Neurospora crassa OR74A: one gene and its partners. The protein of the gene in region 4 purifies or fractionates together with the protein of the main gene of each other region. This does not show direct contact. Links are inferred from orthologs where the notes say so. Each region holds a gene or a part of one and is shown on either strand. Other genes may lie near its edges. The genes, in order: crp-10, NCU00115, NCU02428, NCU07041, NCU04485, NCU01367 and NCU08951.

Region 1 (4,629 bases), on a different chromosome or scaffold from region 4:
GGAGAGAGATGAATACGATACCCCGATAACACAAAGCCGAGAAAAGGTCTTTTTTAACCCTTTCCTTTTTCCTTGTTTTCTTCTCTCTCCTGTTTTACTTCGCATATTCTTCTTCATCACGTACAATAGACCGACTAGGCTATTTGGGGGCCTCAAGGGGGGCATGTCGGTTGTAGCATTTTTCTGTTAAACGTTCGCCGGTCTACAAAGGGAGAGGCGGGCAAGCAAGGCATGGGCTCAAGGCGCAGTCCAGATCGTTATGTACCAAACCATTCTACCTACGCTATCTACTTTCCCAGATGCACGCCTAGCCTTTAGTGCAACGGACGGGAAGTTCACGTTCCACTCTACCACGATGTCGAGCGCGAGAAACAGAAAAATAACGGTGGGAATCGGTGTATGGGCCCCACCACCAAGTTTGACCGAACTTGCCTAATCCGAGACCGCAGTCTCGAGGTCTGCATCAAGGAGAGTTCCCTCTTCTGAAGGGATAGTTGAGGATTTATCTGAGTGTATACCATGAAAGTCTTCAGGGTAAACGAAGATGTATAAAGAGGGGCGTATAAGTGAAGAAGAACCCGAGGCACCCCCAAAATCTGTAACGAATGGAGCGAATTGATTGTCGATCTATACACACAACACAGCACCTTTCAGACCAAGCAGAGCAAAGACCGGAGATATAGACAACAGATCGAAGTGAGGAGGAGGAGAAGGAGGGAGGGAATTCACAAGGGATTCATTTATATATGGGGACCAAGACAGATGGATGATTGAAACCAATACAACAAGAAAAGTGTTATGCGTGTCCTGACTCTCTTCTTCTTCTCCGTGAGTTAGGTACAACGTGTGAAGTATCTCTACCTTGTTTCTTATTGGTTCCAAGTACGAGCGGGTGCCTTAATGATGTGTTACCCCTTCATAGGATCCCATATTCCCAACTTTTCCGAGTCCTAACTGCCCCTAGACACTATATTCCATTACTGTTATACCTCCAAGTTGTGTATTATTCCCCTCAAACGTCCATATCCTTTTCCTCCCTTTTTAAACAAGGGACTGGTGCCAGAACAAGATCCAGATTACTTGTCTCGAAGTATCTATTTGTTAAGTCTTGAACGATTGAGCAGGAGTCTGTCAGCTTGAATATCCAAAGTCGGTGTAACCGTGTATTTCAAAACAACGTCGGAGCAAGTGAAGACAGAGCTCATTTAGTGTATGTTAACATTCATCAGTCCTCCAGTGTTCGTCAAATGTTCGGTGTGAAGCTACTATGCAAAGACGGGAAATCTTGAACGGTTGGATATTTGCGGGACACTTGAGCTGAGAGTGGCTGATGTTTACCTGCTTACATTCCATGTCCCGATTTAGGCCATGATATCATATCAACAAACCTACGGACGAATTTCTTCACATGCCTCACTTAGATTGGTGCCTATATTCCATTAATAGTCTCCTTCATCACACAAAAGGATATGGCACAATTGGCAATCGCAAAACAAGGCAAGGAAGGAGGGCTTGTTCAGGTATCTTATTTCCCTGGCGAAAGTCAGGAATTTCCCGACGTTGCTGCATTGATCGTGGGGTTACAAAAAACAATTATAATCCCAAGCAACAATCCGTCCGCCATTTCCCCTTTTCGCAAGTCTTAATGCAAATGTGCTATGACCATAGTTGACGCCAAATTGAACCCATCCATTTCCGCAACCCAGTGTTTGTTTGGACTTGCAAGCACATTGAAAAAAGACCCCGCCCAAACCCAGCGGCCTTTACCAGACAATGGAAGTATCGTCCGCGCCGAAATTGAACTCCGCCACAGGAGCGACCTCAGGCTCGTCGAAAGACACAGGCACCTCGATCGAAGGCAAAACCTCATTTGACCCGACCTTGAGGTTATCCTACTCCTCAGCGGCGGGGGCAGCGGCCTCCTCCTCACCGGCCTGCTCCTCCTGGCGGGCAGCCTCAGCGGCAGCCTGGACCTGAGCGGCCTTAGCGCCGTAGTCCTGGCTGATGGGCTGGGTAACGGGCTGCTCCTCCTTGGGCTCGATGATGGTGACGGCGTCAGGGAGAGACTTCTGGGGGCCGGACTTGCCCTCGGGGTCAGAGCCGCGCATGATCTTGACCTTGATACCGAGGACACCCTGGCGAAGGAGAACGTGGCGAGTGGCAGAGTCGATGAAGTCCTTAGCGGGCTGACCGGAGTGGATCATGAAGCCATCGGTGAACTTCATGGACTTGGCGCGAGCAGCGCGGAGCTTGCCGGAAACGACGACCTCGCAACCCTTGGCACCGGACTCCATGATGAAGCGGAGGACACCATAGCAGGCACGACGGACGGCAAGACCGTTGAGAAGCTTGTAGCGGAGGGACTCGCACTGAGCGACGGCGGAGAGACCGCGGTTCTGGACCTTGGCGGCGTAGAGGGAGACAGAGTTCTCGGGGAACTTGAAGCGCTTCTGGATGAGCGAGGTGAGCTCACGGATGCGGCGGCCCTGCTCGCCGAGAACCTCCTGGGTGTGGGTGGCGCGGATGATGATGTCGGTGACGGTCGGGGTAACGCGGACCTCGACACCGGAGTAGCCCTCCTCAGCGAGCTCGCGCTGGAAGAACTCGTTCAGCTCGGCGTAGAAAACGCCATCAGCGACGAACTTTCTGCGCTTGGAACTGTAGACAGAAAGAGAAGCAGTCAGCATCAACGCCGCTTTTGTTGTTTTCCAAGCCACCACTTTCTAAATCCCACCCCGTCGGCTGAATCTGCTGCAACCAGCGGGCAGCATATCTCCCGGCTTCGTGACTGAACGCCTTCGTTTTGCATTTGCACCCCCACAGCAGCAGCAGATCGCACCGACGTGTAGACAGTCGTGAAGACGTGTAGTAGACATGTAGGAGGCTTCCATGCTCTTGGTTTGCTCTGGTTGCTTACATCTGGGTGCCGGGAACAGCCATTTTTGCGATTTGGCTATGAAGGTCCTGAGGGCTTCAATTGTGCTGCTGAGGAGGATGGAGTGGGATACCTTCTCGCGGTGTTCACCGGACTTTTCAAAAAGATGGGGGGAAATTCGACCGGCACAGCTACTTTTTTTGCGAATTCCTTGGTGGGCTGCCCTCTGCCGCTTCTGAGTGGCTGGCTGAGTAGGGTTAACAGCCGCCACGGCTCATCCCGGCTGGCAAGCGGCTGGCAATCCGCACCCAGTCTGCGCGCCCAACGCTAGGTAGGAGCCGCCAAGCGCAACCCAAAAAAGGAGATACGTACAGATCTCACATGTGGGGTTGAGGTGCTTCCTTGCGCTTCCCGTCCCCGTCCAGGCCCAGCCTTGCGCCCAGACCACCTCGTGCACTTCACTTCCTTTGATTGTCAGTCGTTGCTGGCTCGGGCAATTTCTGACACCGGCAGGCACCATGAACGTTCCGTCCTCAGTCGGGTTCGGGGTGGCGCTGATAGTGGGGTGTCCATCGACGTCAATCGTCGCTTCCCCGGTTCCAGAGCGCGTTGCACTCCAGATGCTGACTTTCTGCTTGTTCGCAAATCGCAGTCACTATTCGCATACCCTTGGATTCGGACGGCAGGAGGATTAGCAGCAGAGGTTCTGTAGCTTACAAAGTTACCAGTCCCTGTCGCCTTTAAATACCTGTCCTCCAAATCGATTCCACGTGGACCTCGGGGACAATCTCTTGAAATCCCAACAAGTTCCGCGTGAATCACTTATCGTTGACCGGCACCAGTGACTGCGCGGCGAAGTTCCTCCTTTTCGTTTATATCAGGACACATGTTCCTAATTGGTACATTTTTCTGTTTCCCAGTCCTGCAGTCTGGCACTATTGTACAACTACGATACATCTTAAGCGAAGCAGATTCTATTCTCCCCGTTCCTCTCGCCGCAACCGCATCTGTCAACACGTCTTGCGCTCCTGTCCGGACACATTGGGTCTCGGACGTCCGGTCTCCTACCTCGGCTGCACAGCGCCTCATAGTGCCGGGGTAGTTAGTATTACCTCCCAACATCACGATGGCGGCGCCTCACCTCAAGCACGTATGCTCTCCATCATCTACCTTTCCAACTACGTCTCGTTTTCTTTACTGAACCGAATGCCAGACTTTCGCAAACATCCATGCCTTGCGAGGCGGAAAGCCGGAGCTCGGCGACCTTGCGCTCAGTGACTACCATCTCGTCTTCCGCTTTCCCCCCGAGTCTTTGACTGCCGCAGATCCGAGTCTGAAAAAGAGTGTGAAGCAAGTGTGGTTTGCCTTCCACATTATTTCACAGTGCACCCTACGGCCCACGCCCCCTTCTAGTGGCGTTCCTTCCTCGATACGTATTCGGTTCAGAGATTTTACATATGTTAGCTTCAACTTCGCAGGCGACAAGGAAGCCCGGGAGGCATTCGAGTTCATCAAGTCCAGAACATGCAAGCTAGGAAGCGTCGATAAGCTGCTGGCCTTCAGCTACCGACCTCCACCAAACTCACCCGAAAGTAAAATCAACGGTTGGGACCTATACGATGTCAGAGCCGAGTTCCGCCGGCAAGGGATAAGCGAAAAGTCACGCGAACTGGGATGGAGGATCTCTACGATCAACAAGGACTACTCCTTCTCCCCGACCTATCCGGCCTTGCTTATTGTGCCCTCCAAAATAT
Region 2 (3,704 bases), on a different chromosome or scaffold from region 4:
GGAGGGAGGGAGTGCGTGCACATCGGCGGGGTCTTCGACGAGCGGGTGGGCGGGTTTCGGAGGCACGGCGACGTTATCGAGGATGATTATTCGCGGCAATGGGTACTAACCTCGCCTTAGAGGCGGCATCGGGACCTGTGGTCCTACTCAACTCTTAGTTCCTGCCCGCGCATACCCAAGAATCTCAGCAGCACTCTGGTCACTTACACGGAAGCATTGCGCCGGAGCTGGGGCAACGGCTGGAAGACGCTCTGGGCGGACCGGAGGGTCGCAAGAGGCTGCCATCCCCAAGCAGATTAGACAACTATTCCACAAGCGCACACATCTTACAAACGCATGAGGAGAATTCTTACCGCCCGTCCCTGGAGGGACCGTACTACTGGCCTTATTATCATCTTCGCTCTGGGTGGTCTGGGAGATTGAACGTCTCCAAGTTGCCGTCGCGCGCTGCGCGGATCAACCGAGTTTTTAGCGCAAGTTCCATACTGGGGGGTCAATTCGGGGTTCTTATCGATAAGGAGCTAGTGACGCCCATTTCTTAAGCTACCAAAAATCACCGCCACAGAGAGCGAACAGAAGCAAAATAACAAGTCACTGGTAGCATAGGAGAAAACAGATGGTTATCAAACATTGGATTGTCCGATTTTCGGCTTCGCACGGCACCAGTTCTGTGACATCGTGGCTATCTAACGGAGATTTCTCCATTTTGCCTTTGGAAAAAAAAAAAGAAGAAGAAAAAAGTCCTGGCAATCTCGCAATAACTGGCAGAGATGCCTTCTCTGATCGCCACGCGGACAAGGGATACTGTTGTGCAGTCGAACTAAAGCTCAAGACTGAGATAACACTATGAATCCCACACAATATTGCCCTGCATGATGCCGATCCTCTGTCGTGTCGACCAAGGTCAACCGACGAGGAGCCGGAAGCGGCGTTTTGATATCGGTGTCGCATCGTTGCTTGCTGCAACAATCGCGTGCATATGATGATGGTTGTGGTACGGTCGTAGGTGTCCCGCAAGGTGTTTTGACCATAGGGTGTTGTTCGGATCACTTGCGCTTTCTCCTTCCGTTGACGAGTTTCTTGTAGAAGTTCTTTCCTCCGCTCTGCTTCTTCTCCTGGATGCCGTGGTACTTGTTCTTGTACTTGTCAACAACCTCAGCACCAAGAACCTCCTCGACAATGGTCCGCTTCCTCTCCTTGCGGGTAAGTCGGCTGTCACGACCGTCAGTAGCACCAGCAATGATAGTGCCAACTTGGGAGAACTCGGGCACAAAGTCCTTGCGAGTGTCCTTCTTGAAGTATTGCTTTCCCATGGCGACGACCTCACGCATTCTCAAAATTTGCAAGTCTCTCTTCAGCTCAGGGGTCAAATTCGTACGGGGCATGTTAAACCAATCGGCGCCAGCGTCATTCTTAGGTCCCTGTTTCTCTAGTCAGCATACCGATCTGCAAACTCGCAGAGCATGAACGGAAGAGAAGGAAGGATGTCCAGTCAGAGTAACTATGAACATAAAGGTAATCATTATGGTGCAGACAGCAACCCCATGACGGGGCGCCGACCTGCGTCATCAAAAAATGGGATAGATTTTCATCATGGAAGGGATGTGATGCGTGCTGAGGACTGCTGAACGTACCTTGCTCTTATCCTTGGATTGAGGCACCCGAACCGACAACTTCTTGGACTTGTTCTCCAAGGTTGGCTTCACCACCTCAGCAGGAGCGGCCGAGGGAGCCGCAACCACTACGGGGATTTGCGCTGCGGGTGCAACAGCAGCGTCTTGCTGGGGAGCCGCGACAGCATCTGAGCTGTCCGAGTTCGCAAGGCGAGACTCGGCTTCAGCAAGGAGTTTGTCGATCTCAGCATCGGACAAGCCGAGTACAGAAGCCGCCATCTTGCTGGTCGGCCAAATGCACAGTTTCGGGAAATGAAGACTGTGGAAAAGCTGCTCAAGATTTGCAAGCAATTGGTGAGAGGGGAAGAGAAGGGAAGAAAAGTCGAAGCTTCACAGTAAATTGGGGACGAGAAAAAGATAAATTTTTGAGTGGAGTCGGCGGGGAAATGTCCAGGCGTCCGTCCGGTCCCCATCTCTGCCAAGGCTTGGCATCACTTGTTCTGAGCTCCACGGTCACGTGAAGCTCTTGTACGACTGGAGCCAGGCCTCCAATGAGTTGGCAGTCCACAGCCCCGGGCCGTGCGTCATACATACCTCTGGGCGCGGAAAAAATGAGGCTGGAGAGTGCCAGTTGTCAACGGTTGGGCTCGGGGCAGGGGCCACCGCGACGTCGAGCAGAGCTTGTCAGGTAGCGCGCCACAGCTGCCAGTCGCTGTCTTTCGGCGTCGTTCTGCTGCAGACTGCAGTGAATGCTGCGGCAGTCATTTGAAGGGGGAGTTGTTGAAAGTCTTCAAAAGGTTCACTGATGCCCAACCTTTTGTTTTCTCCATTATACTGAGTCTGACCGCTTTCACTCACATATCATCATCTTACCGTCTTTCTTATTTCCATTGTCCGTCTCTTCACATCCTCCAGCATCTGTTTGAGTAAAGCCATTTGCTTCACAGGTACGTGCTTATCTGCTAGTCTGTCCATCTCATCCTCATCCGCCAGTTCCCGCGAATAGCATTTCCCAGCCTTTGGCTTCACGCCAAAAGACGGACCTACACCCCCCAATCTCACCAATCATTTCACCTTCCTCACCAACTGGAGCTCTTGCCCGTGTGGCTCGTCCCGAAGTCAACGAGAGGCGAGCCTGGAGCAGCGAGTCGTCGTCCATTGACATTGAACTCCACCCACTTGCTCCCCTCTCCCCAAACAGGGAGTCCCGCCAATCAATCGCACTGCCCAATCAAGCAGGATTTCTGAGTGAGAGTCGGCTTTGCGATCATCATTCGTCGGCTCCGTCCTAAGTAAACAAAGACCCCAAGGGGCTTGTCGACATCATAGATAGTTCTTTCTAAGCCCAACGCGCAGAAGCTAGATCTACCTGGCTGGGAAACACAGAGAGCTCTTCGGCAAAGCGCGACCATTACGCGACGCTAGCAGGACATTCAAGCTGAAGTTTTGTTGGTACAGACAGAGGTATATTCACATTGACCCAAGTCATCCAGTACAGGCCACCGATTTGCGACCAACTAGTCCCCGTTTCCCCGCTGCTCGCCAAACATTGATATTTGCCATGGATCCCCAAAATCCGTCTTCGGCTGGGCATAACCAGCAACAACGCCAGCAGCCCGTCTACGACACGAGCCAAGGCGGCCATTATGGTAAGTAATCGCCGTCTCAGCGCTTTTCGTTAGGGAACAGTTTACTCACCATGATATACTGTATAGGTGCCAGTGCTGCGGTTAGTACTCACCCTTTGCAAGCGGGCTTCTCAGTCCTATCACATCATAGTTGACAGTCTAACGCCTTTCATGTCGCTAGCTCTCTCAACAAGGCTTTGCTCCCTCAGACCTTTACACGGGAACATGGGCCAATGTTCATCAGGGCCTCCAGGGCAATTACAAGGAAATCCTGACAGCTTACTGGCAACAAACCATCAACCATCTCGAGAATGACACCCACGACTACAAGCTGCATCAGCTGCCCCTGGCACGAATCAAGAAAGTCATGAAGGCGGACCCGGAAGTCAAGATGATCTCCGCCGAAGCACCTATCCTCTTCGCCAAGGGATGCGATATCTTTATCACCGAGTTAACGATGCGC
Region 3 (4,340 bases), on a different chromosome or scaffold from region 4:
AAAAAAAAAAAAAAAAAAAAAAAAAAAAAAAAAAGGCCCAATAACCAAACCCAACTAGACCGGAAACTGAACGACGTGCTCGGTCTTAAGTCTTACAAAAAGTTTTTGGGCTTTCCATGTATGAAGAATATCAAACTATCATCATATTTTCATTTATAAAAAAAAAATTTCAAAGAAAATATTAGCAACACTACATTTTACACATCTTTCCTGTTACCACTGGGTTGTGTGTTCCTGGAGCACAAGCATTGTAGATCATTCAAACCCAAAAGATCCAATTCACAAATTTGCAAGGCACAGCAAAGGCGGGGAGTGCTCCAGTGCGCGTTCATACGAACAGTCTCGGGAGTAAATGCCAGGCTGACGGCAACTGGGATAACCATTTCATATCCACAGGTGATATGGTCCTGCAGCCCATGATCCAATCGGTCTGAAGACCCAGTGGCCAAACGCCAATGCCCAGGGTGTTACTTTCCGCGGTTTATTGGCCGAATGAAGAATGCCATGTGAGATACATCAAGGCCTGTACGCTTCTTGTACATTGCGAGTACACGGCACTATTCGTCAGGCTTTCAAATGGCCATGGAAAGAGATACAGGCACGTGAAAATGAAATCAAACGAGCTTACGCAGCAAGGGAGACACATTGTTTTGCAAATGCTTTATTTGGGAGAATAAAGGCATTGGGAAGGAGAGGAGGGTAGTGAGGCGTCGCAGTCCGAAAAACGAGCAACCCACGAAAACACTGACCTGTGGTAGATGGCTACTAGGTAGTAGTGCTGATATCGTGTAAGCAAAAAAGAAGGATGACAAAACATGGTTCCAGTGCGTCACTTCCCATTCTCTACCACTGATACTAACTGGGCAAGTCGCTACTTGCCCTTCTTTCCGTCATGGCAATGTCTGAGTTGGAATGGCGCATGGCAAGCGTTCGCTCGACAAAAAATTGCGTTTCACTTGACCCGAGAACTTTGTATCCGCAAGAAGATAGTATTGACTAGCTAAGGCTGGACGTATGAAAGAGCTAGGAAGAGGCGAAGAAGAGTATATGACGAAAGGAGAGGAGGGAAGGCAGGCCAGGTTGAATGGTCTTGCGTAGACGATGAAAGCGTCTTGAGTCCGTTGTTGAACGCCCCATGTTTTGGTTGCAAAAACAGCGACAGCGCAATCACAGGCGACCCAAGTTCCGGAGGCTCTAGCCCGCAAAATCGCGATGTTGTATCACGAAGCTGGCCAAAGCCCCCGCAGCCTCTCTCACGCGTGAGAAAGGCAAACAGACCTTTCACCCATCCCTCCATGTTCCTCACCACGGTTTGATTGTCGATTAAATGATGTCCCACGCATCCTCAGCGGCGTGACAGAACTTGCTGCACGCTACGCTGGCTGACAAGCTATAATTGCTGATGGAAATCTTCTCATCGACATACTCATCCGCAAAGTTATCGGCGCCCTTGGCCATGGCGCCTACAAAGACGCAAATGCTCTCATTCTCGCCCAAAGCGTCGATGTACTCGCGAACGCGCACAACGGGGGCGTCGAAGCTGAGCGTAATCTTGCGGCAGTTGGGAGGCAGGTGGTCCGTAATAGGGTTCTGAATCACCTTCAAGAGCTTTTCCTGTGAGTTGGTTCCCTTGATGGACAGACGATGGAGAAGCTGGACCATGAGACCAGCGAAGCGCTTGAAAGTGCGGGGTATACGGACAGCAGGCGAGACCTCGATCAGGACCCCTTTGGCGGTCTGGATATAGATCTGCAGCCTGCCGGCCTTGTTGACGGGCGAGTCAAGGAGCGTGAGGAGGCACTAGAGTACACAAATGGCGAGTGTCAGTAGCAGTATCCGCATGTTGAATGCAGACTGGGAGTGTTTCCAACCTGGTGAGTAATGTCGGGGCGAGCGTCACTGATATCTCTGTTCATCTTGCGCATGACACCAATGTGCTCATCGCTATTGAGGAGCGAGTATTTTTCCTCTCGCTGCATGCCCATGCGGCCAGAGCCGCCGTGGGACGCCTTGTAGGTCTCGAGACTGGCGTTGGAGAGTACCACGATGAGCCTCTTAGTATCCTTGTCGGTAGGTGGGATGGGCATGTGCTGCTCAGCAACGAGTTGGGGCAGTGCCGGAGGAGGGAGCGACTGGGTGCCTGCCATGGTCACGTCGTGGTTAGACATGTTGAAAACCTGAAGCTCACTCAATAATCGAATAACCAAATGTCCGGGGGCAACGACAGGTAGGAGAAATGGCAGGCGGCGGCGCTGGTAGAAACGGTAGGTTTGATGATAGTTGCTGATATGGTCGTCGTGATGGTGCTAGGGACGGGACGATGGATGATGTGTAGCCAAGAGAACGCAAGAATGGAGACAAGACGGCCTTTCGAGTTTTCGAGCGAAAAAAACGAAATGGCATTGGCCACCATTGGCGATCAGTCAAAAGAGAGTGGGGTACCGAAGTTCCAGGCTTCCCGGGCCCCTCTTTCCGTGTACAGTAGTAGTACGTCTTTGCGGCGTCTTTCCCGTCAGGGTGTTCCCGTCGATTTTTTTGTTTGATTTTTTTTGGTCCTCTGCGCTGCGCATGCGCTATGATGCTTGGCAACAACGGAACCGGGACACACGCAGCAATACAGCTTGGGAACGCTCAAGCCCGCCCCTCAAACCTCCGAAAAACTTCATACCTCGAGCGCCGCAACACCTCGCATTCAGGGCCCAAACCAAAATGATTATCTGACATAGAAGAGATTAAAAGGTCGAGGAGGGTACTTACGAGGCCGCTTGCCAGCACGGGGGTGTTCTGGGGAAGATGATCCGGACGACATGGTGGCAGGGGAGCACGGAGCAAAGACAACGATGGAAAACCAAATGGACCCTTGATGGCAGCAAGATTGAAGCGGAAAAGTTGGAGGAAGAACGAGACGAGAGCCCAGAGCGCGGGTGCGCGGGCGCACGTGCCCTTTTATATGTTCACGAAGCTCGATAACACGACCTGGATAAACCGACTGTGTGGGGCCATACGAACTGAGAGCAGTCAGCCCCTACCCCAAGCTTGGCATTGATATCGCGCGCCGGCAACCATCAGTCCTCACAAGAAAGCATCGTTTGAAATAGTCTCAGTCAGACCCACAACCTCCAAAACCACCCCACCCCACCCGTTTCTGCGGTAGCAGGTCTGAGCCAATTTTGAGCATTTCGGCCGTCAGCCGCTGTAGGACCCAACTATATATTATTATATATTATAAATTCAAGGAAGCTAGTAAAGATAAATAAAAATTACTCTTATATAGAACATTTTATTCTGATTCCAATGGTAGCCTTAGTTCCCTCATACGACTAAAAATCGTCGAAATACAAGGCTTTGAACTTTTGGACTTTTACCCCCTCAAGGCTACATTACTTTAATGGGTGGTCCGAGCTTTATAAAAATGGTACCGTCAGAACCGCCTTCCCAAGGCTTACCCTCTAGGCTAGCCGTTAGCTTCTAGTTCTTCCTTCTACATCATTTTTCATAACGCTTTCAAATATCATCATACTATTATTTACAGAGCGCTCCAATTACCCGTATCAAATAGTAGCTACAATTAAAAATTAATTAACCAAACTAAACCCCTTTCAATTAGAACCTTTAACTAAGTAAACTAATTAATCTTCAAACGGTTCATTAAACCTCTAATCGCAAAGACCCTATATCGCTCAACACCAACCCTGCAATCGCAAACAATAATAACAATCCTTTACTATTATATCTCTAAATCCTTCCCAATCCTTCCCTTATACCTTCTCCCCGCGCTTCCTAATTATACTATACCAATTTACTTGTATTGGTTCGTATTAATTAAAATATTATATTATACTACCCTAATCCGAATACCTACAGACCTCAATATAAAGGGTAACCCCGTCTACCAATTACTCAATTCTTAAACGTATTTCTACTCCTACTTCTTATCTATACTCCTACTAAGTACTTTCTTTATTCTCAATACTATTATTCATTAATAATTGTAATTAAATATACTATAATCTAAAAGCTAATTTCAATACTATAGCTAACTATAATTTAACTAACCCCGGCCTAGCTAATAATCCGCCTAATAATTTATTAATATATAATAATTTATTTTAATAAGAAAATTACTTTACTAATAACTTTAATAACCTAATTAATTATAATAGTACTATCGTCGGATAAACGAACTATCCTTCAACCTATAGTAAATTACCCTTTACTAAATTAATCCAACTACCTCCTAGATTAATAGCTTAGTCTAATAAAATTAAATAATTAAATACAATTAATTCTAAGTAACTAAATTCAATTAAATAAGATTCTCTTGAATTATTCTAATAACT
Region 4 (3,918 bases):
GAGGTGCGGGTGTGTGGTGGTCGAGGTCAACGTCCCAGAAATGACGTCTGTGCTTATGATGAATTCGATTTGTTTCTTTTCCTTTTCTCTTCTTCTCAAGGATAGACAACGACAATTGCCGTCGATCTTGGCAAAGGTCACAAGAAGCAGCGATACCTGAAGGTCTTGGGGTTCGGGATAAAGACCGACGCCAGGGATACGAAGGGGAAATCGAAGGGAGTAGTGTAGAATGTCGCGGGGCCGAAGAAGAAAAAGAAGGGGAAGATGTTGCAGGGACGGAAGGAGTTCTGATTCTTGGCGACACAAAACCGAACCTACCCCTTTCTGACGGAAAACGTTGATGGATTTCGAAACCTCGTGCACGGAATGCTGTAATCCGTGGCGTACCACAGTGCAGATTGTGCTTGCCCGATCATGATGACCACAGCGCGCCAGGGTCGTCAGATCTTTGCAGGTTCTCATTGGGCGAACCTGGGATGATTTCTTGGTTCTTCAGCTGGAAAACCAACGACGAACGTTATCCAGCCTTACCGCGACTTTATCACGGCGAACCTGAAAATTGCTGCTGTTAAGTTCGTCAACTTTGACTCGGGCGGGATTCGATGCTTCACCATCAATTACTTCAGCGTATCTTGAACACCTTGGTGAGATTTTACCGACGGTACAGGTGTCAACAATGGCCCTGCTGGGAGTATACAAATCACGTTGAGACCCCAGCAAGTCAAAACGCTCTTGTCGCCAATCCCACCATGGCATATCAAGACCTTTTGATGTCGCCAGCACGTGTGATTTCTTGTTGATGTTCCGTGCCGTGCCGTGCAAGCCCCTGTCATGATAAGCTAGTATGTAGATAAGATAACATCTACAACCTGGGGGGAAAAAACAGCTGAAAGGAGCAGATGGCCAAGAGTACTTGGATAGACTCGTTGCGAAGTACAGCAGGACAGTAATGACAGAACCAAACTTCCACCTCGCTGAGATTTGAAATAACTGAATCCGGTCGTTTTCTTATATTTGCTCCTTTTTTATGCTGTTGTCGTCCTCAATGAAAATACCAGGTTCCAAAAGTTACAACTTCCATGCAAGTGGAAGTTCCAGTTATCAGATAAGGAGCTGCCCCTGCATCTGCCAGCTGGCCGCTGATCCTGTCGCGCTTCTGCAGCCGGAACTCAACCTGCAAGAAGCGCCGCGCCCCCACTCTTACCAGCTGCGGCAGGCTTGTGTTCCAAAAATTTCCATCCGTGCAGCGCGATTCGGCTGGCCATCTTGCCATACAATCCCTTCAACAAGCCATTTATCAAATCCAACCACCAGACCCAAGTCGCTCGCCCTGATATCGTGACCTGTCGCACAACCTCAATCGAGACCTCTGATTATTCATAAACATCAACAGCCCACAAGAGCCCCGAGAAACACATTTACAGCCAAAATGCCGTCCACACACAAGAAGGAGAAGCCGTGGGATACAGACGACATCGACAAGTGGAAGGTCGACCCTTTCACCAAGGACGAATCCTCCGGCCCCTTCCTCGAGGAGTCTTCGTTTATGACCCTATTCCCCAAGTACCGCGAGCGTTATCTACGAGACTCGTGGCCACTCATCACCAAGGCCCTCGACAAGCACGGCATCACCGCAGTTCTCGATTTGGTGGAGGGTTCCATGACAGTGAAGACGACAAGAAAGGTACGGCGGATGCGTTTGTTGTCTTTATAGTCACCACTCTTTGCTAACTCACGTCCAGACATATGACCCCGCAGCTATTCTTAACGCCCGCGATCTCATCAAGTTGCTCGCCCGTTCAGTACCAGCCCCACAAGCGATCAAAATTCTCGAAGATGGCATGGCCTGCGACATCATCAAGATCCGCAGCATGGTACGGAACAAGGAGCGTTTTGTTAAGAGGCGCCAAAGAATTCTCGGACAGAACGGCACAACGCTCAAGGCTCTCGAGCTTCTCACACAAACATATATCCTCGTGCACGGAAACACAGTGTCGGTAATGGGTCCTTTCAAGGGTCTGAAGGAGGTGAGGAGGGTTGTTGAGGACACCATGAACAACGTTCACCCAATTTACATGATTAAGGAGTTGATGTAAGTTTTGCGCCTGCACGCCCACTTGCGACGCCCCACAACAACAATAACTGACATGAGAAAACAGGATCAAACGCGAACTCGCAAAGGACCCCGCTCTTGCCCACGAAGACTGGTCTCGTTACCTCCCCAACTTCAAGAAGCGCACGCTTTCCAAGCGCCGCGTCCCCCACGTCGTCAACGACAAGACCAAGAAGAACTATACACCCTTCCCCCCTGCGCCCGAGAAGAGCAAGGTGGATCTCCAGATCGAGTCCGGCGAATACTTTCTCGGCAAGGAGGCCAAGCAGCGGGTGGCGGAGCAGGAGCGCGCAGAGAAGGCCAAGCAGAAGAAGGAGGAGAAGAAGCGCGAGCGCGAGAAGGAGTATGTGCCGCCCGAGGAGTTGACGGACAAGAAGGCCAAGAAGAGGAAGACGAGCGACTAAGCTGGTACAAGTGGTGCAATCCAAAATATGGGGGCGGTGGAGGTGGAAATGGAGTTGAGGAAGACGATGATGAAGAGAAAGAGAAAGGATCCTGGAATCCCATGATACCCATACTTCAGCAGACGATTGAGATTTCTCCTGCTTCGGGATCCAAGGGTGATCTGGTTGCTAAATTTCACCAAAAGCCTTTGTCAAATGTGTTATCAAAAACAATGACTTGTCCAGAAAAGATGTCGGTTCTTGAATCTGTCGACATTTCGAAACCCAAGGCCGAAACAAAACCCGATGACGATCGCGAATAAAGCCCGATGTGGCAGACCCGCACCACAACCGGGCTGCTCCACCCCGGCGGATCGCAAACCAGGGGCATCACAAGGCGGGCCGAGGCAGTTGCATCATTGGAGCGGGATCCGGCAACGAATGCGGGGGAGAGTGGGGGCGGCCATTGGTCGGTGGCAGGGTTGGTGGGAGAGGCTCAATGACAGAGTGACAACACCCCTTTCCCCGGGTCCAATTGATAACAAATCTGGCCGATGTCGCAACTGATTTAAACTTGATGACCCTTTCCTTCTTTCACTTCTTGAACATACTTCAACACTCATCCAGTGGATTGGCCTCGGTAAAACACAACCCACACATAAACACAACGCCAAGATGCCTCTCCAACTCACTGTCAAGAAAATTGACGGTAAACCCGGCCAGGTTTACTACCCGTAAGTGTTTTGTTCTTCCTCTTCACATAACCTCACCTTTCTTCTCCCCCATACATATCCCCATCACCACCACCAACCAACTCACTCCCACCATCCTCCCCGCATGACTAACCCTCGGCCTCCCCATCTAGCCTCCAACTAAACACCATCCCCAAACCAACCCCCGGCCCCGGCGAGCTTCTCATCCGCCTCCGGTCCTGCGCCCTCAACCACCGCGACCTCTTCATCCGCCAACACCTCTACCCCGGCATCTCCTTCGAGCAACCTTTTCTCGCTGACGGCTACGGCGTCGTCGAGTCCACTGGCCCTTCCGTCTCCCCTGCCGCTTCCCAGCTCGTCGGCAAACCCGTCCTCATCACCCCCAGCCGCGGATGGATTTCCTCCCCCGACGGGCCCGACGACCCCAACCAGCCCTGGACGGTCATTGGCTCATCTCAGTTGACCGACGCCGGCACGGGGCAGGAGTACATTGTTGTTCCCGAGGCGGAGGCAGTACCCGCGCCAGAGCATCTGAGCGCTGCTGAGGGCGCAGCCCTCCCGCTCGTTGGACTAACGGGGTGGAGGGCGTTGGTGACCAAGGCGCAGGCCAAACCGGGGCAGAATATTCTCGTGACGGGAATTGGGGGTGGTGTGGCTTTGCAGATGTTGCAGTTCGCGGTGGCCATGGGGTGTAATGTCTTTGTGACGT
Region 5 (4,530 bases), about 1.8 Mb from region 4:
GGTGCCGCAGTGGACCAAAAGATCGAAGAGACACAGGATGATGGCAGTGAGGGACAGAGCGAACGCAAAGTGGCTTCTTCCAAGCCAACGAAAGTCGTCAAGACCGAGCAAGTCGAAGAAAAGAGTGTGGCTACTGTGGCCCAGCAAAAGGAGTCTACAGGCAAGAAGAGAACGAGGGATGATGTGGAGGAGTGGCTGCCGGTGGAGATGGGAGGGGAAGAGGTTCCGGTTGTGGATCTGACGGAGGAACCTTGACGACTGGCCGGAGGTTGAGAATCGCTTGCAAACCTCGAAGGACGATGAAAAGAGGTAGCTATGGATAAGACGAACACAATTGTCGAGGGAAGAATGTCGGAGGCCCAGTGTCTTTCCAGGGGTTTTGCCAGACACACAGAGTTATTTCCTCGGGGAGAGAGATTAAGAAAGGTAAAGGCAAACATCTCGACAACAAAAGCTCCAACTTACATGGCCATGAGGAACTGATGGACCTCGAGTACCACATATTATGGCCGCCATTGTGAAGTGGAAAAGAGTTGCGAGGTAGCTGTACGTGGTTCTGTCCTCATCCACAAAAGGGGACGATCATTAAAGACAAAGGGAGCAACCCTACATGACCTGAATTTAAACCACATTGACCCAAGGACCATTTACAAGACTGGACAGTGGAGGAACGACAGATGGATGTGAACCAACAGAAATCAAAAACTTGCCATTAATATGCTGTTACCCGTGATGCAATCATTTCTTCGCCTTCGCCTTCGCCTTCCTCTTGACAGAGTTGATCAGACCATCGATATCCGCGTCGTCAGTCTTGACCTTCTTGGCGCTCTTCTCACTCTTCTCCGTAACACTGGGTCCATCCTTGCGCTTCTTTCTGCCCTCCTCAAGAAGCTTCTTCATACCCTGAGTAGCCGTGAACTTAGGATTAGAGGGATCAATAGCGAACTCGTGGCTCTCGAAAACGGCCTTGAAACGAGGATCCTCGACGTCCATGGCGAACTCTTCCTGGAGACCATCGTTGCCCTCCACGCCCTTCTTGCCCTTCTTGCCCTTCTTCTTGCCCTTGACCTTCTCGACCTTGGCGATCTGCTTCATGTCGAAGTGATCGAGACGGCCACTGTCACCGTTTTCATCAGCCATAAGCAGCTCCAGCTGTGCCTTCTCGGCGGCGTTGGCAGCCTCCTCAGCTTCCCTCTCAGCCTTCTTCTTGAGCCTCTCCTCTTTGCGAATCGCCGTCTTGGAAGGCACCACAGGCTCAGCAGTGAAGAATGGATCGTCGAAACCGAGATCTTCGCCTTGGTCGCCTTGCTCTTCCTCCTGCTGAGGAGCGGCGTTGGGATCGCGACCTTCCCTCCTAGCAAGCATCTCCTGCCGCTTCCTCTCCTTTCTCTCGCGCTCCTTGCGCTTGTACTTCTCGATGGTCGTCTCCTCCCTATCTTCGTCACCCTTCTTCTTGTCGTTGGCGGATAGTGCTGGCGTGAAGGTGATTTGCATCTCGCCCACCGGAGTATCCTTCTTGGACTTTACCACGGGCTCGTCAGCAAGACCAAGAGCAGCGCGCATCTTGCGCCTGGCAAGCTCCTTCTTGGACAGTGTCTTTTCCTCTTCTGCTTCCTCGGCAGCGGCCCCCTCGGCCTCGAACTGCTCCTTCTCCTCCTCGTCCTCCTCGTCGTCTGAGCTGTCGCTCGCAAGGTAAGCGCGCAAGTCGTTCTCGGCGATATCGTTGCGGCTACCGGTGAAGGCCTTCTTGAGAGCTTCTTTTCTTGAGTAATCTTCGGGGTTCGTATCCCAGGTGAGTTTGACCTTGGAATGCTGGAGAGCATCGGTCACGAACTCCACCGGCTTGTACCCCGCAGGGACGCTGTCGCACTCGTCTCTGGGTTCGTCGTCGAACGTGACATCGTCGGGGACAAATCGCAAGTCGAGGAAGTTGGAAGAAGAAAGATACTCGTTGCCATCCGTCGCCTCGTAGATCTTGTATGCTGTGTTCTTGTCGGAGCAAACCATAACGGCGTAGTAGTAACGTAACCTGTCGAGCTGATAAGTGCGAAGGGCGTCACTGTCAAAGTCCTGGTCGTCTCCTTCCTCAAGAAGCTCCTTCTTGATGGCCTCGTCCGAATCAGAGTCCTCCGAGTCACTGTCGGAATCGGAGTCACTCTTCTTCTTGAAGATCTCCTGGGGAGGACCCTCCAGCTCTTCTCTTTGCATCCTCTGCTTGCCGAACTCGCTAGGGTAGACAGATACCTTCTCGATGCGACCACCTGGGGGCACGAAGCTCGAGAAGAGGGCGAATAGATCGATCGACTTGATATGGTCCCAGTCAATGTTGACGATGGCAACTCTGTTTGTGATCTCGCCTTCCTCAACAGCCTCCTTATCCTTGCGCAAGCGGATACCGGGTCGTGTTTCCGCATCAGCCTCGTCTTCCACCTCTGGCTTTTCGTCTTCGGAATCTGAGGAGTCGGAGTCGGAGTCGTCATCGGATGAAGAAAAACCGCCGCCACGGGCAGGGTCGTATGAGTTGGCAGCCTCGAGTTCGCGCTGAACAATGTCGTCGTCCTCGACCTCGAAGTCGCTCTCGTCTTCCGCTTCGTCCTTCTTTCCCTTGCTGGCCTTCTCTTTGGCCTCGTTGTCTGTGGCGTCCTCGCTCTCATCCTCGTACAGCCGTTCCAAAGCCTTCTTCTTGGTGTCGGTCTTTAGCTTGCGGCCGTACCTGTCGACCTTTGCGACGGCGGTGAACTCTGCATCTTTGAGAACCTTGGAGAAACGCTTGTCGAGCTTGGTCTTTAGGTTCTTTTTTGAGGGCAGCTGGAATCGCGGGTCGGTCTCGAAGTTGGCAAAGCGAGCATCGGTAATCGCAGGAGCGCCATCGCGCTTTTTAGGCTTGTTATCTTTGGGCATGGTGGATGTGGAGATGGTGACTGATGCGATCCAAAATCGAGGATTCGACGGCAGCAAGGAAACTCGCAGATTCGACCCGACATGTGCACAGCACGCAAAGTCCGAGAAAATTTTAGTGGAGCGTTGTTGATTCTGCCAAAGGCGGTCTGCACATGCTAATGTCAAGGTGCCCCACCTAAAACGCCAAGTCCTGTGCTATGGATCAATCCACTTCCCCGCATTGGTGCCCTGGCATGCAGCAAATGGAGCCCGCTAAAAACTCCGTCAAAAGCCAAAGTCCACTGACGCTGTCAGCGCAGGGCTGTTCAACCTCGAAAAACTCCAAAAACGCCATCGTCCTCCAGCAATCCCGTCGATGATTGTCCTCGACCATCCAATCCAACAAATTCGGGTATCAACTTGTCCGTCATTCGGAATCCAACGTATAATCCTGTCATCGCATGCCTCATCGGCCGTCCTTCAACTTATGACCAGAGAACTCCCATTCGACGTCACCCACCCACCGATCGGCCATCCAGTCCTGTCCGCTGTCGCTGTCGCTGGTCATCGAATCTGGACCTTCCACTCGTTAGGACGACTGATATCGCATGAATTGACAGTGTTCGCGGATTGACTACCTACCGAAGATGTTACGCAGGTTTCAGTTCTTTAACTGTTCCCATGCCACATCGTTGCGCCCAACGTAAGGATCCCAACAAGCATCAAGAGCGACAATAGCGTTGTGCAAGCCCTATTCTCTGCCTTGACGTCTTCGTCTTGGTCGGAGGAAATGAGTCGTGAGTAGCTCTCCAGATTCATGGTTTGTATAAGTTGGAAGAACCTGGTCGACAGTGCCGCGTTATCGGATGGGTTGTTAAGGATGTGTCTGGGACGTGGGATCCTGAGATATGAACCGGATGGTTAATGAGGGTTGGATGGCGAGTCCAAAAGATGAAGGGCGTCCGAACAAGACTTATAATTGTTCTTTGGTCCCCATCCGAGAATCAATGGCCCACCACTATTCGTTCCTCACTTCAGGGGCAATCATCATTACACAACTTCCGGACCAAGTCCAAGCTGTTCTTTGTTTGCGCTCAACCAGGAAAGAGATCCTTGGTGATGGTCAGGTGGGGTTACCAAGGCGGGAGTCGAGGCGAATGTCCCTAGGACTGAGCTCCGGAATGCCTCTCCGGGTGTCATCGACTCCGCATGCCTTGCCAACACAACCCCGGAAAACCCTAAATCAGATGTCGATGATGTTCTTGGCATTTTCACAAGCGAGAAGCATCAACAATGCCTGCATCACGTGAGACACCGAGCACGCCTTTCTTCATCAACAGAGTGAACCACAGAGTCCGGATTTGGGTGTTTGTATTCTTCATCCTGCCCAGCTGTTTGGGACGCGACATTGACTCGAAGCCATCAACGACATTCGAGACCTCTGTCAACCACATTCCCGGCCGTGCCAGCGTCGCTTGCCCCTGGCTGACTTCCCGTGAGCGGCTACACACCCGAGACTCATTACTACTGCACTATGCACACACCCGATACGGTGAGCAGGGTAACCAAAACCCGTGGGCCAGGTTGCTCGCGATCGCTGATCACACAGTGCCCTATACAAAGCCACGAAGCTTTGCTTGTGGTGGGTCA
Region 6 (4,623 bases), on a different chromosome or scaffold from region 4:
AGCCACGTCCCAGCAAGCCCAAGGAAACGGCCGAGACCAAGTCCGAGGAGATCCCCGATTCACCCCCTCCGGCGATGGTCGTGTCTGACATCCCTGCGGTGCAAAGCGCGGAGATGACGCCTATTGACTTGACTGATGAGAACTGAGTGAAGACCAGGAGTATGTGGATTGGTTAGAGCGTTGAATTGGTTCATTGTTGTATGTTTATTGTTGGTGTAAGCATATTCATTCATGCATCTGCCCATTTGCATTGCATGGTCTTGAGGCCTCGATGGCTGGTATAGCATGGCTGCGTTGTCTTTTTTGAAGCTCGTTGCTTGATTGTTTTGGAGTTGAAACTCTCGAACTCCCCAAGTCTTGTACATCTTATCATGCAGGCGGAATATTTGGCGGTATTGACGTCCAGCTAGGCCTCGAGGAGTACCTTTGAGTCGGGTGGCCATCTCAGTCTCGAGCTAGATGATGGAGCCTCAACCTTGTGCTGGAGGAAGAAGTAGCGCAGCGTGATCTAACAAACTACCAATCCTCTGTTGATATTTTTTTCCACGGAGAGCACATTACAAGAAGTTTACCATCCCTTTGATGATATATTGGTGAGAGATTCCATAGTATTTTAATGGCTCTGTGTGGCACAACTTAATCGGAAATCTAGTGGAATGGATTCATGACCAGAAACTTTTCAACTCCCTTCAAATGCAGTGAGGCTACCTAAAAGATATAGTGTGGTATGTACAATACTTGCTCTTTCTACTTTCTCCTTCTCCTTTGTCTATGAACAGCTTGGCTGTCGCGAATGCGATATAACGTCCAGAGCACTTTGTAACAAATTTCAACAGGCGATGATTATTTGGCTCTCTTCTTCCTCATTCTCCGCGTTTCTCCCATGTCCCGCTCCGTCAAACGAGGTAGACAAAACAAGACAGAACAAACGTACGTATGGTTCCCATCTTCTTCCTCTATTCCTCCTCTTCTTCCTCCTCATCGCTCTCCTCCCCCTTAGCCCCCGCTCGCCTAGCAACCTTGGGCACCTCGAAGATAGTAGCGCCGTTTCTTCCTTCCTTCATGTACTTCCACCTTCCCAGCCTCATCTCCTTGCCTGTGGCGACCACGATGCAGATGCCGTCGCGACCGCGGTTGCCGCGCTCGAAGATGGCAATGTCATTGATGATACCCCTAATCAGCCCGCTCTCTTGCTTCTTCTTCTTGTCTTGCGACCCATCCACCGAGGCCTCGTCGTCCGCTTGCTCCTCCCCACTGCTTGCGGTTGCAGGTTCCTTCTCCGCCTTTGCCTTCTGCTTTGCTTCCTCCTTCTGCTTCTGGGCCTCGGCCTGGTCAAGCTGCTGCAGCGCCGTGCTGGAACCGAGCACGCCAACAGGCAAAATCTTCTTCTTGTCCTCGCTCAGGCGCCACACGCGCACGAAGCCGTCCCAGGAGCCCGAGAGAATGACGTCCGAGTACGGGATGGTGCGGAGGGCGGTGATGGCGCGGGGCTGCGGGGTGGGCACCACGCTCTCGTCCGGATTCGCGTCGGCAGACACCTCGGTCGGCTTGAGCGGCGGGTCGATGCCGTGCGCACACGGCTGCGTGAACAGCGCCTTCTTGCGGTTGATGCCCCACAGCGAGAGCGTGCCGGCCGAGTCGCCAGTCACAAAGAGCTCGTCGTCGATCATGGCCACCTGGTCCATGGTGCCATCGTGGTTCACCGCCTGGTCCCGGTTCTTATGGGATTTCTTCTCCGACACGCCGCCGCGGAACACGAGCTGCGACTCCTCGGGAACCTTCCAGTAGCGGGCGGTCCGGTCGCGCGCGCCAACGGACACGCAGCGCTCGCCGGCCAGAGCGTCGATGTCGGGGATCTCATCCTGGTGGCCGAAGAGTGTTTCAACGTAGGCGAGCTCGTCGAGCGACCAGACTTTTACTGTCCGGTCCTTGGAGGCAGAAAATATTTGGTTAGTGCCGCGGCGGAAGGCGAGCGAGGTAACGGCGTCGCGGTGCTGGGTGAAGGCCCGGAGGGGCTTGAGGGTCTCGGCGTCATGGACGACCATTCGCTTGTCGGCGCCGCCGGTGACAACAAACTTGCCGTCGGCAGAGGCCCTGACCGTCAGGATGGCCGCGTTGGTGTGTCCCTGGTATGTCTTGTCCTTTGCCTTGATCGGGTTCGCCCTGTTGAAGCACACTCTCTCGGGTTTCTTCTTGGGCGGCGCAGGCGGCTTCTTTGGCTTCTTCTTGGTCGTCTGTGGCCACTGGTTCTTGGGTAGGTCTTGTAGCTTCCACTTGGTAAGGTAGCCGTCTTTCGTGGTGGTGTAAGCGTACGGCGCGCAAACCGAGACTGATGTTACCGTTCCTGAATTCCATCGAAACTGTGTGTGTGCGGCCTTGTCAAAGTCGAGCTTGGAAGCCAACTGGCGGTAAACCTTGCCCTTGGCCTCGGCCACATCCTCCTGAAGACGCTCGGCCAGCAAATCACGGTCAATCTGCTCGGCGTCAAAGGCATACTCGTCCTCCAGTTCCACCTCTTGTCGTGCCTTGTCCAGATATCGCTGTGCCAATCTTAACCGCTTCTCAGCCGCCGTCTCTCCTTCGTGGTCCGACTCCTCTTCTCCTTCCGACCCGTCCTCTCTCTCAATGTGGTCGCCATCGTCACTGTCAATGTCGCTGCCGGATATCGACTCGTCGCGCTCAACGGCTTTCTTGGGGGCTGCGGGACGTGATTTGGCGGCAGGGCCTCTGACCGACGATGACTTGGCAGTCGATTTGCCAGTCGCAACTCGCTTCTGGGGGGCTTCGTTGGCAGAGGCACGCTTCCTCTTCTTTTCCCCAGCGGGTGCTGTGAAAAAGGACGACATGGTGTTGGCAATTGCGGCCCGGGGCGGTCGGTGCAAATGCACTGGAGTCGTCTGGTGGTAGAGAATGACACTGGAATGTGAATTGGGGTCGCGTTCGGCTTCACTTCAACGCTGCTGCATGGCTATCAAAGTTGAAATTTTTGGGATGGCCGTTCGCGCCTAGACACACCCGACCCGATGGACTTCGAAGAAAAAAAAAAGTTGCCCACCCTGCAGGCTTTCTATCGGTGGAGTAGCACGCCGATTCGTCAAGATCTCCTCCACTGGCTTGGCACAATTGAACGAGTCGGAGAAGGGAATCCCCGTGCCGTGCACTCTACCTTATTGCGTCACTAACAGATATAGGGGCTCTGTCACGCGGAACCGAGCTAGCGAGCTGTTAGTAGTCGGCTGGTGGGGAGGCTCTTGCTGTCTCCAAAAGACGTCCCCGGGCCATCCTGGCAGGTTTCATGACGGAGTGGGGCTGTCTCTCTCGCTGTCTGCTTGCCTGCCCAGTGGTTGCAGCTTTCAGCCCTTCTGGGGACTGGAATGGAAAGATGGAAGACGATAGCGGGCACCTGAACAGCCTGGCCCGTGCTTGTCTTGTCAGCTTGCAGGCTGAAGCTCCAGTGCGCGTTCCCCGTCGCCGTCAGTTCAAGCTCCAACTGCCCTGTCCCGCCATAGGTAGGTAACGACGAGAACCGTGCAAGCCAACGCAACTTGCCAAAGCTTACCAAAACAACAGCATATCATCCATTCACTCACATAACAATCAGCCAAAATGTACGTCGCATCGGTCATGTCTTGGAGAGGTGATATCAGAGCTGATCAGCATGTAGGGAGGTTTTACTAGGCATCACGGGCAAGGACTTTACCATCATTGCGGCGTCCAAGGCCGCTATGCGGGGAGCGACCATCCTGAAGGCATCCGACGACAAGACAAGGTCGCTGAACAAGCACACACTGATGGCATTCTCCGGTGAAGCTGGCGACACAGGTACGGCAGCGATATCGTGATGATGGCGCTTTTGAACCAAACCAAGTTAACCAACTGTTTGTTCCCATCGACAGTGCAGTTCGCCGAGTACACCCAAGCCAACGCCCAGCTCTACTCCATGCGCAACGGGACCGACCTTTCCCCTTCTGCCCTTGCCAACTTTGTCCGCGGCGAGCTTGCGACGAGCTTGCGCTCCCGCAAACCCTACAACGTAAACCTCCTTCTCGGAGGTGTCGACCCTATCACCCACAAGCCCAGCCTCTACTGGCTCGACTACCTTGCGTCGTTGGCGAAGGTCCCCTATGCCGCCCACGGCTACGCACAGTATGTGATCTCGACCGATATCTCTGTACCGTCTTTGATGCGTAGGAGTCATGTACAGAATCACTGACCGGTTCTTTCCTCATCAGATACTACTGCCTCTCGATTCTCGACAAGCACCACCACCCAGACATCACCCTCCACCAGGGTATCAAGCTTCTCAACCTGTGCACCGACGAGCTCAAGAGGAGGTTACCCATAGACTTCAAGGGCATGACGGTCAAGGCGGTAACGAAGGACGGCATCATCGATATCGAGTTCGACGACGACAAGGTGGTTAAGATGGCTTGATTTGTGGGGATGCTTGCTTACTTGCCTGCTTGCGGCTTGGGAAGCCTTGCGGGGGAAGGACAACTCTGTATAATAATACCCATACGACGGAAATGCATGAGTCCAGGTGGCCTCCACCAACGGGAGACCCCTGGCGAATTTGATGATCATAAAGAAAGAGAGAGGAAGAAACAAGGCTATCATGTTAGA
Region 7 (4,121 bases), on a different chromosome or scaffold from region 4:
CTCCCCCCCGTCAAGCCCTCGGCCATTGCCCTCGGCACCATCTTCAACCATGCCACCGAGCTGGCCATCATGACCCCCCTCTTCGGCCAGACCTACCAGCGCGCCAAGATCTCCAACAGCAAGGAGGAGTTCATCAAGTCGCGCGAGGCCACCTCGGCCGTCATGGCCTGGGGCTCTTCCCTCGTCGGCTCTGCCCTGCAGTCGTACGGCATTGGCGCTCTCATCAACGCCACCGGCACCCTCAGCTACCGCGGCGCCGCCTACCTCGGCGGTCTCATCTTCGCTGCCACCTCTGCTCCCGGTTTCATCTCTGAGTTCTTCGTTGAGAAGCGCGCCTTTGAGACTGTCGGCATCAACGTCCTCGCTAAGCTGTTTGAGACTGTCGGCCTTTCCGTCTTCCTTACCTGGTGGGGAACGCGCACCAACCCTTTTGAGTAGTGGGTCACCCTATTGTAAAAGAACCTATCTACTACGGTATATCCTGTGGGAACAGTCTGCTGACATGGTTGAAACAGCGCCTCTGCTACCTCCGGATCGCCTACTCTCGGCCGGACAAGCTGGCGTGCCGAGTAAAGGGTCCTTTTTTGAGTAAGAGGAACTCTGGTATGGTTTAATGAAGTTAATGATAATGGGGAACTTGAGTATCGCACCTACAATTTGGAGTGTGGGCGTGTTCCTGGGCATTTCCTGTTTTTTTTCTTGGTACCCTCTGTATTGTATCAAGCTATTAGCATAGTATCAGCATTCCTGAGATGAATGGAAGACGCTGGCGATAACTCACTATTTGGCTCGTGTGCTTGTTGTCTGCTGGTGACCAGGAGTTGTCTTGCATCTGATTGAGTGTTGCGATGGTAGTTGGCCATGTCGATGTTGTGTTGTGTGTCGTGACATAGGCCAGAAGTACAGCCCGCGGCATTCGACCCAAAGACGCTTGAACATATACGAACTGGAAAATGAGAACTGATGAACTTGGTATTCCTTTCTCATATATACCGTACAAAATACAAGTGTTTACCCCGCAACGCCTTCCATATTTTAATGACAGCAAGTAGCCAGCGCCATAAATCCATAACCGAAACCAGGATAGACTAAAACCGTCAACCCATCAATGCTCTCTATCTATAGCTTAGATAAAAGCCCAGAACAACCAAGCCAGCCCATGGGAGCCGACCGGATGTGGTCAATGCGGAAGAGATGATGACCGATATCCGACAATCTTTTCGTGATGAGAGCGAGAGGTGGGAGGAGCCCGAAGCGGAGACAGAAATCGACATCGAGGGAAGAAAAGAGTGATAGAGGTTGTGATTAAGGCGTCACAAACTTGTTCCTCCTTCATCTGTTCCCCAAGCCCAGGCAAAAGTCCATCGAATAACAGTCTTTGCGCTCCCCGCCAGCGTCCAATCTCCAAGATGATCGGTCGCCTGTTTTCTTCTCTCTCAACGGTAAGACGGTCCGATTGTCTGAGCAAAAAGCACGTACGCACACGAACACTCTTGCAACAAGCAGACGCACAATCACACCGGCACCTGCAATAGTGTCATGGTCTCATGTGCTCCCGCTGTCGCCATCATGTCGTTGCAGCCTTTCATCTTTTGTGTGTTTTGTTTCGCTCGAGTCATTGCTCCCGCCAATTTAGGCAGTGCCCTTGACCTTGGCCTCGATCTGGAGCGGGTGAGTACCCTTGACCCAGGGCTCGACCTGGACGTTCCACTGTTTTTGCGCCGTCTTGACCAGCTCCTTGTAGGCCTCGAGGTACTCGGCAGGGTCGACCTTGTCGCCCTCCTCCTTGCCAGAGGACTTCTTGCCCTCGGGCTTGAGCATCACCACCGAGGTGGCGCGCTTGGTGCAGGCGGCAACGCCGAGGTCGGCGCGCGAGCGAATGTACAGGTAGGGAACGCCGTGCTCCTCGCACAGAATGGGGAAGTGCATGATCACGTCCATGGGCGAGATGTCGCCGGCGATGATGACGAGGCCGGGAGCGTCGGCGGGAGGGGAGGCGGCGGTCCGGAGGGGGCACTTCTTGATGGCCTTCTCGCACTCTTTTACGCCGCGGTGGATGGACTTGAGCTTGGCGCCTGTTTGTTTTTTTTAATCAAAAGTTAGCTTGGGTTCAGTACAAGTCGTGCGTGGGCTGCGATTGAGGAGCCTGGCAATGCAATTGGAGAGTAGTCACAAAACGTACCCTTCTTGATCAACTTGTAAATCTTCTTGTGGGTCTTGTCGTCGGCGAGGGGAAGGGCAAAGGGGACGAGGTCCTCGGCGGTCTTGACGACATCCTCAGGGTCGACGGAACCCTCCTTCTCGAGGTGAGCCTCGACGGCCTTGGCGAGCTTCTCGGTCTTCTCCTTCTTCTCCTTCTTGTCCTTCTTCTCCTTCTTGACACCGGCCTCCTCGCTCATCTTCTTCTCCTTCTTGTCCTTCTTCTCGGACTTGTCCTTCTTCTCCTTGATCTTGTCGGTGGCACCCATCTTGTCGGATTAAATGTGTGTGTGTGTTGTTGTTGGTGGTGGTGGTTGGGTGTGTGTAGATAAAGTTGGTGGTGGAGGGGGATGGGGTATCAAACAGGAATTAAAGAATGGTTATACAGACAACCACTGCAGTAAAGAGAAAAAAAAGTTACTGGGTTGGGGCGTCAAGGTATTTGGTATCGTGATGGGGCGGTTGATCGCAGAAATGGATTCTTCAACGCAGATTTTACTGGGTCCATCAAGTGACCCAGTCAATCAAAGCAGAGCGACGCGACCAAAAATTTGTAGGCCAATTGTAAAGCCGTTCCGCCCGGGGGCCGATAATGCAGGTGAGCGCCTGGAATTGGGTGCGATAAGAGGGACCAATTTTCCGATAAGCACGCGATAAGAGGAAATGTCTTAAACTTCCACCTTTTGCTTGGTGGGGCTTTCCATTCAGTACGACAGGGATTAGTAGTAGTCTTGAACTTAAACAAGGCCTGCTTCTAGCCTGCCGCAAACTGGCAAACAGCGGCAGTGCTTTGTCCTTGAAGGCCGGTTGCTTGCCTGCCCCACTAAATTTCTAGAGCTTGTGATACCTACCTCCAAGCGCATTCAGTGTGAGCCATTGACTCACCTCGACAATTCACTGGCAAAAAGTCCACAATCCCAAGCGACATTGGCCCAGTTCTGGAAGCTATTGTTGGAGAACCTTTTTGCGACCAGCAGCCTTGTCATTCCCCCCCGCCTATATCGATTTCATAGATATCCGTCCAGTACCATTCGTAAAGACCATACAGCCTCGAGCAGGGAACAGTCGCACTCTCACTTCGACATCACCTCCACAATACCTCAGTAGCACACAGAGTACTATACACAGCTCATCGCCATGGCGTCGTCGCAAATGAGCTATGCCCCCACGTTGGGCAAGCTCCTCAAGTCTCTCAACACTCAGCCCTTGGAGGCTTCTATCGAGGCTCTTATTTAGTACGCCTACGCCTGCTTCATATCTATCTTATATCAGATCCTAACATGGTTGGGCAGCCTCCTAAAACGTCGCCAAGTCAAGGGCGATGATGTCGCCAATGCCACAGCCCATATGCTGCTCCAGGTCGTCGCCAAGTCTAAGTGGCAGAACGTCGATCAGCTGCTCGCAAAGGTCTCCAACACCGGCCACAGACTTGCCCAAGCTGCTCCCACTGAGCAAGTCATCGGCAACGTTGTCCGCCGAGTAATGGGTCTTATTCGTGATGAGGCTTCCGAGGACAGAAATGCCGACGAGATGGGCGACTCAGTATCCGACCTCTCCCAGCTGCCCACAACGCCCACCATTTCCACAAGGCCAGGCCCCACGCCCCTCCGCGCCGCGACTCTCCCCATGTCCAAGTCCATGTTCAACCTTCTCTGCGTCTCAGAGACCGCACAGTCACCAGTTACCGGCGCATCTACCCCCATGTCCCAGGGCGCATCTGCCAACATGCATGCCCTACGGTCCGAAGTTATCGATGGCATCGAAGAGATTATGGACGAGATCAGCCAGGCGGACGACCAGATTGCGGGTTTCGCGGACATCCAGATTCACCCCGGCGATTACGTGCTCGCCTACCTCCCCTCCCCAACAGTCGAGAGATTCCTCCTCAAAGCCGCAGCAAAGAGGAGGTTTACCGTGTTCAT

What was found.
Region 1: the proteins of NCU07041 (region 4) and crp-10 purify together in Saccharomyces cerevisiae (affinity purification with mass spectrometry; 5 studies listed by BioGRID). This does not show direct contact. The link is inferred for Neurospora crassa OR74A from reciprocal best matches to the Saccharomyces cerevisiae genes KRR1 and RPS3.
Region 2: the proteins of NCU07041 (region 4) and NCU00115 purify together in Saccharomyces cerevisiae (affinity purification with mass spectrometry, with the first as the bait; 3 studies listed by BioGRID). This does not show direct contact. The link is inferred for Neurospora crassa OR74A from reciprocal best matches to the Saccharomyces cerevisiae genes KRR1 and FCF2.
Region 3: the proteins of NCU07041 (region 4) and NCU02428 purify together in Saccharomyces cerevisiae (affinity purification with mass spectrometry, with the first as the bait; 6 studies listed by BioGRID). This does not show direct contact. The link is inferred for Neurospora crassa OR74A from reciprocal best matches to the Saccharomyces cerevisiae genes KRR1 and EMG1.
Region 5: the proteins of NCU07041 (region 4) and NCU04485 purify together in Saccharomyces cerevisiae (affinity purification with mass spectrometry; 3 studies listed by BioGRID). This does not show direct contact. The link is inferred for Neurospora crassa OR74A from reciprocal best matches to the Saccharomyces cerevisiae genes KRR1 and ESF1.
Region 6: the proteins of NCU07041 (region 4) and NCU01367 purify together in Saccharomyces cerevisiae (affinity purification with mass spectrometry; 6 studies listed by BioGRID). This does not show direct contact. The link is inferred for Neurospora crassa OR74A from reciprocal best matches to the Saccharomyces cerevisiae genes KRR1 and RRP9.
Region 7: the proteins of NCU07041 (region 4) and NCU08951 purify together in Saccharomyces cerevisiae (affinity purification with mass spectrometry; 3 studies listed by BioGRID). This does not show direct contact. The link is inferred for Neurospora crassa OR74A from reciprocal best matches to the Saccharomyces cerevisiae genes KRR1 and NHP2.

The regions. Positions count from the first base shown.
Region 1 is NC_026503.1:4,034,955-4,039,583, reverse strand, and holds crp-10 (40S ribosomal protein S3), read right to left. Parts: upstream 3,101-4,629; 5' UTR 2,941-3,100; coding exon 2,918-2,940; intron 2,659-2,917; coding exon 1,893-2,658; 3' UTR 898-1,892; downstream 1-897. Other genes in the region: NCU00490 (DUF803 domain membrane protein), read left to right, coding at 1-12; NCU11185 (protein phosphatase), read left to right, coding at 4,002-4,025, 4,089-4,629. UniProt on the Saccharomyces cerevisiae protein: Component of the ribosome, a large ribonucleoprotein complex responsible for the synthesis of proteins in the cell.
Region 2 is NC_026503.1:2,663,944-2,667,647, forward strand, and holds NCU00115 (rRNA-processing protein FCF2), read right to left. Parts: upstream 2,006-3,704; 5' UTR 1,893-2,005; coding exon 1,635-1,892; intron 1,422-1,634; coding exon 1,047-1,421; 3' UTR 617-1,046; downstream 1-616. Other genes in the region: NCU00114 (30S ribosomal protein S10), read right to left, coding at 111-143, 208-278, 354-395; CCAAT-binding transcription factor subunit AAB-1, read left to right, coding at 3,175-3,262, 3,329-3,342, 3,423-3,704.
Region 3 is NC_026507.1:2,520,979-2,525,318, forward strand, and holds NCU02428 (nucleolar essential protein 1), read right to left. Parts: upstream 2,892-4,340; 5' UTR 2,810-2,891; coding exon 2,758-2,809; exon of another isoform or gene 2,169-2,757; coding exon of another isoform or gene 2,141-2,168; coding exon 1,872-2,140; intron 1,801-1,871; coding exon 1,324-1,800; 3' UTR 648-1,323; downstream 1-647. UniProt on the Saccharomyces cerevisiae protein: S-adenosyl-L-methionine-dependent pseudouridine N(1)-methyltransferase that methylates pseudouridine at position 1189 (Psi1189) in 18S rRNA.
Region 4 is NC_026504.1:4,998,670-5,002,587, forward strand, and holds NCU07041 (90S preribosome/SSU processome component KRR1), read left to right. Parts: upstream 1-1,250; 5' UTR 1,251-1,429; coding exon 1,430-1,684; intron 1,685-1,742; coding exon 1,743-2,092; intron 2,093-2,159; coding exon 2,160-2,517; 3' UTR 2,518-3,024; downstream 3,025-3,918. Other genes in the region: NCU07042 (alcohol dehydrogenase), read left to right, coding at 3,172-3,230, 3,362-3,918. UniProt on the Saccharomyces cerevisiae protein: Required for 40S ribosome biogenesis. Involved in nucleolar processing of pre-18S ribosomal RNA and ribosome assembly. Essential for vegetative growth.
Region 5 is NC_026504.1:3,203,929-3,208,458, reverse strand, and holds NCU04485 (pre-rRNA processing protein Esf1), read right to left. Parts: upstream 2,970-4,530; 5' UTR 2,902-2,969; coding exon 739-2,901; 3' UTR 493-738; downstream 1-492. Other genes in the region: NCU04484 (hypothetical protein), read left to right, coding at 1-255. UniProt on the Saccharomyces cerevisiae protein: Involved in the 18S rRNA synthesis. Required for the early cleavages at sites A0, A1 and A2.
Region 6 is NC_026505.1:3,790,887-3,795,509, forward strand, and holds NCU01367 (rRNA processing protein RRP9), read right to left. Parts: upstream 3,034-4,623; 5' UTR 2,847-3,033; coding exon 957-2,846; 3' UTR 641-956; downstream 1-640. Other genes in the region: NCU01366 (hypothetical protein), read left to right, coding at 1-146; pcb-4 (proteasome component C11, variant), read left to right, coding at 3,607-3,608, 3,665-3,822, 3,897-4,146, 4,233-4,434. UniProt on the Saccharomyces cerevisiae protein: Involved in nucleolar processing of pre-18S ribosomal RNA. Required for efficient pre-rRNA cleavage at sites A0, A1 and A2, and biosynthesis of 18S rRNA.
Region 7 is NC_026505.1:5,797,974-5,802,094, forward strand, and holds NCU08951 (ribosome biogenesis protein Nhp2), read right to left. Parts: upstream 2,722-4,121; 5' UTR 2,469-2,721; coding exon 2,183-2,468; intron 2,076-2,182; coding exon 1,633-2,075; 3' UTR 884-1,632; downstream 1-883. Other genes in the region: NCU08949 (hypothetical protein), read left to right, coding at 1-437, 516-573; NCU08952 (translation regulator GCD7), read left to right, coding at 3,337-3,434, 3,492-4,121. UniProt on the Saccharomyces cerevisiae protein: Non-catalytic component of the H/ACA small nucleolar ribonucleoprotein (H/ACA snoRNP), which catalyzes pseudouridylation of rRNA and is required for ribosome biogenesis.